Linked DNA regions of Arabidopsis thaliana. The protein of the gene in region 1 interacts with the protein of each later gene in a pairwise test. Each region holds a gene or a part of one and is shown on either strand. Other genes may lie near its edges.

What was found. The genes of interacting proteins can lie anywhere in the genome.
Region 2: the proteins of BLH3 (region 1) and OFP5 interact in a two-hybrid assay, tested with the Arabidopsis thaliana proteins (one large-scale study listed by BioGRID).

Annotation. Positions count from the first base shown.
Region 1 is NC_003070.9:28,299,286-28,304,480, forward strand, and holds BLH3 (BEL1-like homeodomain 3), read right to left. Parts: upstream 3,444-5,195; 5' UTR 3,118-3,443; exon of another isoform or gene 2,666-3,117; 5' UTR 2,606-2,665; coding exon 1,868-2,605; intron 1,790-1,867; coding exon 1,413-1,789; intron 1,336-1,412; coding exon 1,275-1,335; coding exon of another isoform or gene 1,236-1,274; exon of another isoform or gene 1,209-1,235; coding exon 810-1,208; 3' UTR 501-809; downstream 1-500. Other genes in the region: AT1G75400 (RING/U-box superfamily protein), read left to right, coding at 1-65, 153-179. UniProt on the Arabidopsis thaliana protein: Transcription factor that is responsive of the nuclear import of SHOOT MERISTEMLESS (STM).
Region 2 is NC_003075.7:10,334,548-10,339,302, reverse strand, and holds OFP5 (ovate family protein 5), read right to left. Parts: upstream 2,738-4,755; 5' UTR 1,855-2,737; coding exon 805-1,854; 3' UTR 629-804; downstream 1-628. Other genes in the region: AT4G18840 (Pentatricopeptide repeat (PPR-like) superfamily protein), read left to right, coding at 1-584; AT4G18823 (Defensin-like (DEFL) family protein), read left to right, coding at 4,021-4,078, 4,226-4,392. UniProt on the Arabidopsis thaliana protein: Transcriptional repressor that regulates multiple aspects of plant growth and development through the regulation of BEL1-LIKE (BLH) and KNOX TALE (KNAT) homeodomain transcription factors. Required for embryo development.

The DNA.
Region 1 (5,195 bases):
ACTCTGCATTGAAGAAGGGATTCTGGTCTAGACATCGAAATAACCGGTCTTCTTCAAGCATAGAGGTAAAGATCCATACACTGAATATTCAATCCTGATTTGCTAGAGAAATGAAACATTCCTGTAAATAACCAATAATACACACATTTCAGGGACTTAATCAGACATCTCCGCTATGATGAAACCCCTCCATCTGGATCAGAGGCATGCGGGTTATTTAGGAAAGCTTTGTATAAAACAGATATTCAGGTTCAGCTATAGCCTTTAGAGCTGTGTTTTAACTTTCTTTTTGGATATTTTGTGTGTTTCATTGTAACCTGTGGGGATAATTTTCAGTAATGAAACAAACTTGTCATTTTAGAAAAGATTTGAGAATTTGCCAACCATTTACAGAGAATGTTTAAAAAGTTGTGTAACGTTTCGTTGTTTACACAAGTTTCAGAGGAACTCAAAATCTGTTCCAATTCTTGTAACAAAATGAGGAAATTAGATCAAATCTTTTTCAGTTTGTTCACACTTAAAAGTATTGTTTATACCATCATGAAGATTATAAACAAAAACATTACAATATCGGCTTACCAAAGTGTACACAAAGCTCAATTTTCATATACAAATGTAAAGTCTAACACCTAAAGTTTTCACAAAATCTATCCTTTATATATGCCACAACAAATATTACAGATATACATATTTGTATAACCCCTATCTATAAAAATGCCAAGAGCGCATTTTCTTGCGCTTCAAGAATCATACTCCCCCAATCAACTGGCATTGCCAGTTCTTAAGCTTGTGAAAAGCTCAGGAATCTTTTAGACAACAAAGTCGTGTAATTGATGGGGATTAGAATATCTGCCATCTTGTTGGTTTCCAAGGCCAACGTAACGATTGTAATCATCAATACCAAACCCATGATAGTTCATCAAGCTGTCGTAATCTCCAGTAGTAGCACGGTCTGGTTTAGGATCTGCAAAGACTAGGTTTTGTTCTGCATCAGATGTATATGGGATGTTGTTGTTGTTGTTTCCCTGATTCTGTTGTTGCGAAGACGAAGAGTCTTCGTGTTTGAGCTGAGATGTTTCCTGCATTTTTTTGGTGTCTTGATTAGAGTTAGAGAGTAACTCTGCTGATTCTCCAAACTCTTCTTTATACATCTCTTCAATCATTGGTTTCCATAGTCGAACTCTCGCGTTAATAAACCAATTTGCAACCTAAATTGCCAAGAATCAGAATACCACTCATATAAAAGCAAGACCAAAGATTGAGCCAATAAGAACCTGGTTTTTCGATAGTCCTGTCTGCTTTGAAAGCATGATTTTCTCTGATTCTTTAGGATATCTACAAAAACGATTGAAATGGTTATCAATGAAGCAATGAGGAGCAGAAAGAAAGTGTCTTACAAACAACAAACTTACGGATGAAGGAAATGCTCAAAGAGCCAAGCTCGAAGTATAGAGACAGAGTTTTCAGGTAAGCCTCTTTGTGGTCTCCAAGCTGGTCTAACCATTCCAAGTTGTTGATGCAAAGCTCTCTGTTGTCTCAACCGTTGATCTAAGTACCTAAGACGCGGTATCCTCTCTCCTTGTTCATCAGAAGTCTCTCTCTCCCCAAGCTTCCCTCTGATCACCTGAATCTGTTCTTTTATCGCGTCGCGTAAACAGCGGAAATGGCGAGAGATTCTATTCAGAGCTACGGATGTGTAAGGCTTAGCTGCTCCAAGACCTGTTACCATCTCGAAAGACGATGCTAAAGCTTCCATTTGATGATGGTATTGGTTATACCTTTTATCTACCTGCAAAAATGTTTTCAAAACTCAAAACTCCAAAGTCTCTCTCTCACTTTAAAGTATTCAAATTTGATTTAGTCTTACCTCATCCACCATTGTTAAAAGCTTGCTCTTCTTGCTCTGTAGCTCCTGACGTTCTGAAGGAGACAACTCCTGCGATTGAGATTTATCATCTTCTGTAATGTTATCACTAGACCCATTGTGAAAGTCTTGACCTTTATCATTCTTCATCTTCTTATTCCCCAATTTCAAATCTTTCCTTACACTAACAACTTCATCAAGCAATTGTTGTGTTGGTTTAAGGTAACGAGATCTCAGTACACTACTCACAAACCCTGATGTCTCGTAACGGTAATTGTTGTAGAATCCAACACCATTATTACCATTGTTGTTGTAAACAGAGGAAGGTAAAATTTGATCAGAGTGATGCTGATGAACACTCAAGCTCTTCCCATTCTCATCAGACATAGTAGAAGGATTAAGATTATTGTAACTCAATTGGTTCGAAAGATTCTGGTAATGATACTGAAACGGAGAAACAGAGACAGCTGACTGGATCTGATTACCAAGACTTAAAGAAAGTCCTCCACCGTGAAAGCTTAGATCGTTACTTGACACCGTTACGTTTCCGTTGACGGCTACGTCGCTTGTTGGTGGGATAAATACCATCTCGTTGTTTCGAACATCACCGGAAACAATCTCGGAGAAAGATGCAGCAGAGGAAGAAGAAGCTTGTTGTTGTTGTTGTTGTTGTTCGTTGAGGTAAATGGATTCTTGGTAAAGAGATTGCATGCCGACACTATTAGGGTAATACACAGCCATTGGATAATAAATCGAAAGTGTTTTGTTGTTTAAGTGAGTTTCATCCGATTGATGTTTTGTCTGAAAAAAGAGAAAGAGAGAGAGAGAGACGTGTGAGTTTGAAACTGAAACTGGATAAATAAAAGAACAATTCTTTAAAGAGGTTAAAACATCTTAATCTCTATATACGCCGCAATTACAGATGAATTCAAGAAATGAAAAAAATATGAAATACTCAATTTAGGTCAAGAAGATATCAAAACCCTAGGTAAAGTTTCCACTTCAATTCAGTGACGCAAACAAAAACAGAGGATGATGTTTGAAATCATGAAAGATATAAAGTTAATTTTTTTTAAGTTCTGATGATTTCATACTTTTGTAAGAATTTAACAGAGACGAAGATGATGATAAAATTCGAAAAAGGAAATCTTTTTGTAAAAAGAGAAACAGAGTACAACAAGTCAATCATATAGCTTTGAATCAAGAAGCTACTAATAAGAACAATCGAATTATTATAGTTAAAGAAATGAAACCTGAGAAAGAGCTAGATGATAAACTATACAAAAGAGAAAGAGAGATTGTGGATGTGGCTGAATCAGGGAACAGAGAGATAAAAAGGGAGAAGAAGAAGAACTTCGAACAGTCGATGACAAAAAGAGAGAGAAAGAAAGAGAAGACACCCAATCCCAAGAGACGATTTTTATTAAATTCCGATACTATTTTAAAACTTTATTTGGCATTCACTAACAAAGAACAGAACCAAACCATCTTATCATTGGAACCTCGACAACAAACCCAGATTTTTTAATTAATGTTTAATAAAATATCAGTGTATCACTAACCTATGGAGAAATTTGACAATCTCTATTCTCTACCAGTAATTCTTTTTTGTTTGTTTTTCTATTCCAACCGAAGCTTCTATATTAAAATTAATAATTTTTTGTTGGTTTTTTTTCTGTGCCAACCATTTAGAGAATAACACGCGTGAGCGGAAATTTTCATATTTTTTTTCCTTTTCTCTGATAGGATTATTGTTAGATAATGGAGAATATTTATACAAATGCGACTTTTTATATGCATTTATATTTCAAGTTATCTGATAAAACAAAAGAATATTATTGGAACCAGAAGGAATACTGTGCAGTGTTGTCATTGACTTGACTTGGTGCTTATATTCAAATAAATATAATTAAAAATAAAGTATGTTTTTTAAAATGAAGAAAAGAGTTGAGTTTTCGTATTCTATGTTTTTATAAAGTTTAATTAATAGCTTGGACATAAATTCAAGCAACCGTTGAAATTTTTTACTATTAAAATTTTCCACCAAAGCTTTGTTAGATTAAATTAACTCAAGCAATCTCAAATTAGTTGTGGTTGTGATGATAAAATCATGGGTTAGTCTGAACCAACAGATGCTTTTATTAATTTCTTTACATAATTGCAGATCCCTGGTTATAAGCGAACGAGAAACATGTGTTACGTGACATGATACTTCATAACTAATCTATGATGTTTTGATGTATAATTGTTAAATTATTATAACGACGGAACTCTCTAAAAAGATTGTGATCAAAATTAAAATTAAACATCTTTTGAGGTCTCCTACTGTTTATACGTTATATACTTGTTTCTTCGCGTAATACATTGGACACACATACTCTTATTAAGTGACGTGCAAAAGAGGAAACTAATTAACTCCATTTTTTCAATATCTTCCTATTATTTACATATTAAAAATAAAGATATAAGTAGAATTGTCAACAAATCAATATATTGAATATAAAGTAATTAAAATTACTAAAGTATCCCTAGGCCTAGAGAATTTTGATTTGCCAGAAATGTTGCTTTGAGGAAGAAGTGTTGTGTCTGCTCAATTGCTTAATTGAGGGATTAAAGGACCTTAACAACCAGTTGGTGACTACCCAATTTCCTTACTTGGAACGAAAAAATCCAATTAGTTGACTAACAAATAAACATATTTTCTTAAATAATCAAGTGATTCATTTGACCTACATGAAGAAAATGTATTTATACGCAAAACAATAAAATGAAAAGAAAAGTTATGATGGGTCGATTCCATGTCCCAAAGGATCTAAGGAGGTTGTGTAATAAATAATAGAAAAAGTAGAATTCGAAAGAAGATGATGAAAAATGAAATAAATAAGGTAGCTGTGTCGGACGCGAAGTTGGTGAAAGTGGCCAAAAACGAAAGACTTGGACGCCAATTTGTTTCGTAGAGACGTTCCTTAACGGAACGAAGCTAACGGCTTTGTGTCCATCTTAATAAATGTTATTCTTATTTCAATTTCTGTATATTTCGTTTATTTCTTTTATTCTTTAATGTTTTTTTTTGTTTTTGGTTGAGTTTCGGTTTTGTCATAGATTGGAACAGCCGACACAAACCTTTCAAGGAGAATCAATGTGTTACAACAAATTCTTTTTTTATGAAATTTTATATATTTATGAGTAGATTATTTGTTTGTTTTTAAATGTACAACTGATAAACCCTACACACAGCTGGTTGAATATGGGAGTATATACAGTGGGAAAGTTTGAAAGGATCAAATATTTTTAACTTTCTAAAATAGGTTAAATGAATGTGGTTTTCTAA
Region 2 (4,755 bases), on another chromosome or scaffold:
GTGGGAAAATTGACAAGGCTCTTGAAGTGTTTAGAGCTACTTCAAAGAGAGATGTCAGTACATGGAACTCGATAATCTCGGATTTGAGTGTTCACGGTCTTGGAAAAGATGCTTTAGAGATCTTCTCGGAGATGGTGTATGAAGGTTTTAAACCAAATGGTATCACATTTATTGGTGTTCTGTCGGCCTGTAATCATGTGGGTATGTTAGACCAAGCTCGCAAACTTTTTGAAATGATGAGTAGTGTTTACAGGGTTGAACCTACTATTGAACACTATGGTTGTATGGTGGATTTGCTTGGTCGGATGGGAAAAATTGAGGAAGCAGAAGAACTTGTGAACGAGATTCCAGCAGATGAGGCTTCCATTTTACTAGAATCTCTTCTTGGTGCCTGTAAGAGGTTTGGACAATTGGAACAAGCAGAGCGTATAGCGAATCGGTTACTGGAATTGAATCTACGTGATAGTTCAGGTTATGCTCAGATGTCAAATTTGTATGCCTCAGATGGAAGGTGGGAGAAGGTTATAGACGGTAGAAGAAACATGAGAGCAGAAAGAGTAAACAGAAGCCTGGATGTAGCATGACTGAAGTTGACGGAGTTGTCCATGAGTTCTTAGCTGGTGAAGGACTAAGAATCGACTAAAAATTGGTAATTTCCAGAAACTATATTAATCTTATTCTGTCAATTTTATAGAATTGTTATCAGTTTTAGTATTACCAAGAAGCATGAAGTTACATCGTAGAAAGCTTAAACTATCCACAAATCATACTGATGAATCTATATGTTACTATTCTACACCAAAATTAATGAAAATTAAAATCATTATGCACCTGCTGGAACACACTGATGATCATGTCATGATATTCATCTGTATTGAGTCTGAGATAACAAACCAGAAGCTCTTTGAGTTCTTCTGGATGGTTGATACCATTCTCCATAATCATCTCAATCATTGAATCTCTAAAATCCTTCTGAGGATCACTTGAGCATTTCACTACTGCAAAGCTTTCGTTCTCCATTCCTCCATCTGCTGTTTCTATCAGAAGCTCGTGCTCCCGTGCTCTCTGTTTGGCCTTTTTCAAGTCTTCAATAGCTTTAACTCTGCATTTTTCAGATGCTCTTGGTGAAAAAACTCTAACTTTGTTGTTTTCTTTTGTTCCTATTCTGTTTAGCTCCCTTTTTAGGTACAGAGATTTCCTCTGTTGGTCAGCCTTCAGCTTCACTTCTCTTAGTTTGACTTCCTTGAGCTTTTCCCACTGATGAGCCGGTTTTGTTATGGTATGACCAAGAATCACGGAATCTTCTCTACTGTAACCTCCTGTACCTGTCCTTCTAGCTGGTTTTTTCACCTTGACCCCCGCGTCTTGTTCTGATCTCTTTGGCTTTTGTTCAAGAAGCCTTTGGTCACGTCTCTCACATCTCTGTTTATCTCTGTTCACCTGAATTCTTGGCGTCAGGATCACAGTTCCGTTGTCTCTATCCATTGCCTCCACTTCCAGAAAACCACATGTCTCTTTTTGGAAATCTCTTACTTTCTTCCTCACACTGCTCATTATCTCTTCAAACTTCTCATTCGACTCTTTATCTGCTGATCTTGTTGCAGAGTTCTCCTTTTCTACTGATACTCTTTGAAACCTTTTGCTGTTCTCATGAATATCACTTCGACGTGTAGTAGAACTCAAGGAAGTTTTTACAGATATGTTCTGGCTAGCTTTTTCATCTTGCTTCTTCTCTTTTGCAGGTTTCAAGTCAGAAGAACCACTTAACTTTGAAAACCAAGAAACAGGAAGAGCACGAGACAACCCGGAAGAAGAAGAAGAAGAAACAGGTTTCTTTCTTCCCCATCTCATCATTCCAAGAATCTGAAGAAGTTTTGTGCTTTCTTAGTTTACCGGGTTTCTTAGGCTAGACTATGAAAAGATGTATAAAAAATGAAGGGATATGTATCTAGAGCTTACTGCTGTAATATGGTTAGGTCGTTGTGTTTAATAGGAGGGAGATGAAGATGTTGTCTTAACGGGTAAAAGCTAGTTGTAGTTTGAAAAAAAGAACCAAACCCGCCTGAAGAATCCTGTGACCACTTTTTGCCTAAATAACTTTTTCTTTTATTGGTTCTGTTATCTCTGGGTATGTTCTGGAATTTATACCAAAGTGGGGGACCAATTTTATCAATCAAAAACCAAACTTCATTGATGACAAAGACTTTGGCTCTCTCTCTCCCTTTCTCTTCTTTCGGAGTAACGTGACCAACCCAAGAACCACAAGAATCCTCCCATCTTTTAGTTTTCTAGTAGCTGTCTTAATACCGTAATAACATTGAGTTCTTAGATCATGGAATCTAGTGCCTTTGCAAAGGTTACATGATTACACCCCTAGTCATGTAGCAAAATCTGTACAGAATTAACCTCGAAACCCGAGTTTCATCCAACACAACAACATGATTGGTCCCGGTCCTGGTCTCTATGGTCCTAGACTGAGAGATGTATGTTTTTTTCTTAATCATGAAGAAGGTAAAGTTGATGGATTTAGTGTTATCTCAAAGTTAGAGATTTTTGTGAAGTTTTGAGGAAGAAGTGGTCCTAACTTTAAAAGAACAGCTAAAAATCTCTCCATATGGATATATCACCTACCTTGAGGTATGGTTTGTGTCACCCCCACCAACTTGTTCATGGTTTTTCTTTTTTCTTCTTTATTCTATATAGATGTATAATATTAATACACATTAAAATGGGGATATAGAAGCTTTTTTTAGTGTATTTACATTTGTTTTTTGTGTCACTTATATTGTCAAGACTTTGCATTGAAGCATTCACCAATTTCAGTCCCTTCTACTCTCCAATGTGAAAAGGAATAAAAGAATAATACCCCATCCTGTATTTATTATTTTTTCTCACCCAAAAGATAAATACAAAAAATGTAATTATAATTATCTTTTAAGATTTTTTTTGGAGACTGTCTATTAGTCATATTATCAAATGGGACAAGACGTTATTATATCACTGCTACTTCAAACTTGGTGATAGGGACGATACGGACCCCGTTATGTTTTTATTGATAAAGAAGAGTGCATGATGTAATTATAATTTTATGTAATAATTATTTGAAAACATTATTCTAATTTGTTTGATAGATGAAAACATTATTTTTTTTCATATTTCTTTGATTGGTTTCTTTCAAACTTTTAAGATTTTGAACGACATCAAGTCACCTTTGGACTGTTTTAGTTGACTCGATTTTCGTTTACCATTGTACTCCAATAATATCATTCAGCAATGCATGTTTCCATGAATAACATATCATCATCTTATTGATACTAAAATAGTAGTTCAAGAACAATATTAGGAATATAATCGATGTTACAAAAAAAAAGTGTTTAATATTTACGTTCAATATAATTTAATAACTTTATTAGCAAACAAAAAAAACTCATTCGTAAACAATTCTACAGTTCTTATGTCAAATAACGATACTAATAAAACACTACGTAGAGTGTTAAAAAGATGGCTTATTCAAGATTTGTTTCCTTTGAAATAAATTGGATTAAGAATCTTTCATAATCTTTTTAAATCATGCATGTTTTCAATGAGCCAATCATGCATTACTTATGTTTGTTAACTTTATAAATCTAAGGAAACTAATCATTAAAAATCATTGACTTGCGATCGGATCCATTCAAGTGATTTTCTGATACAAAACGTTGAACTGTTTTGTAGTTTACTGGATTTTTGTTTACATGAATTCAATTGTTTCTACAAATGTACCAATTGTATCATCATCATTGCAAATTGCAATGTTATTTTGAGTACCATATCATTTCCTTGCTGATACTAAGAAAATTGTTGATATGCCTTCAATATAGAATTCAATGCCTACCTTTATTAGCAAGAAAATTAACGGAAAAAAACTTTAGTAGCAAACAATTAAAAACCCTATATATATATCAAACTTAACAAGTCTACATTTCTCATAAGTAATATAATAAACAATAATTATAGAGTTAGTACGTTAGAAAAAAAAAAATGGTCCATCCAAGATTTGTTTTCTTCGCTTTCCTCGCTCTCTCCGTTTTACTTGCAGGTTAGTCTCATTAGATCAACACCGTATTGAGCATTTTTTTTTTTCATTTCGATTACTATTCTTTAAAACCAAAATCTTGAATATGTGGTATATATGATTATACGCATGTATGTCTATGTTATTTTGCAGATATTGAAGCCACAAAAGTGATGAATGAAGATTCAATTTTGTCTTCCAACAAAGGAGATTCATTGTGTTGCAACGATCACCCCGAATTTGGAATATGTACTAATAAAAGTTGTAACAAGTGGTGTCTTCAAGGCTGTACGAGAGGTGGCTTCTGTAAAAGAAAAATTTGTCATTGCTACTGTTAAATTAAAACTATAACTTCATAGTATATTTTCTAGATATTGATCAATGGAAAATAACGATCATTTTATTCACATCTCGATCGAGTTCAAATGTATTCGTTTTTAAATTTGTAAGTTTTGTAGATTCTTTGGCCAAGAATAAGTATAAAATATTTTGTGATGTTGTAATGTTGCTATATGTTGGTGTACCTAACGTACCGTATAGGGCTTTAGAAAATTTGAGCATGGACAAGTAATGCAATTTGCATGCAATGATTTTGTGAGAGGTCAACCTCAACTTATGGAGAAGATTGTCGAAGGCTACCTACAAAGGCTGAAAGATATTCATGCAGCCGATCATTTTCGCAAGCACACGGTTCCGGAACT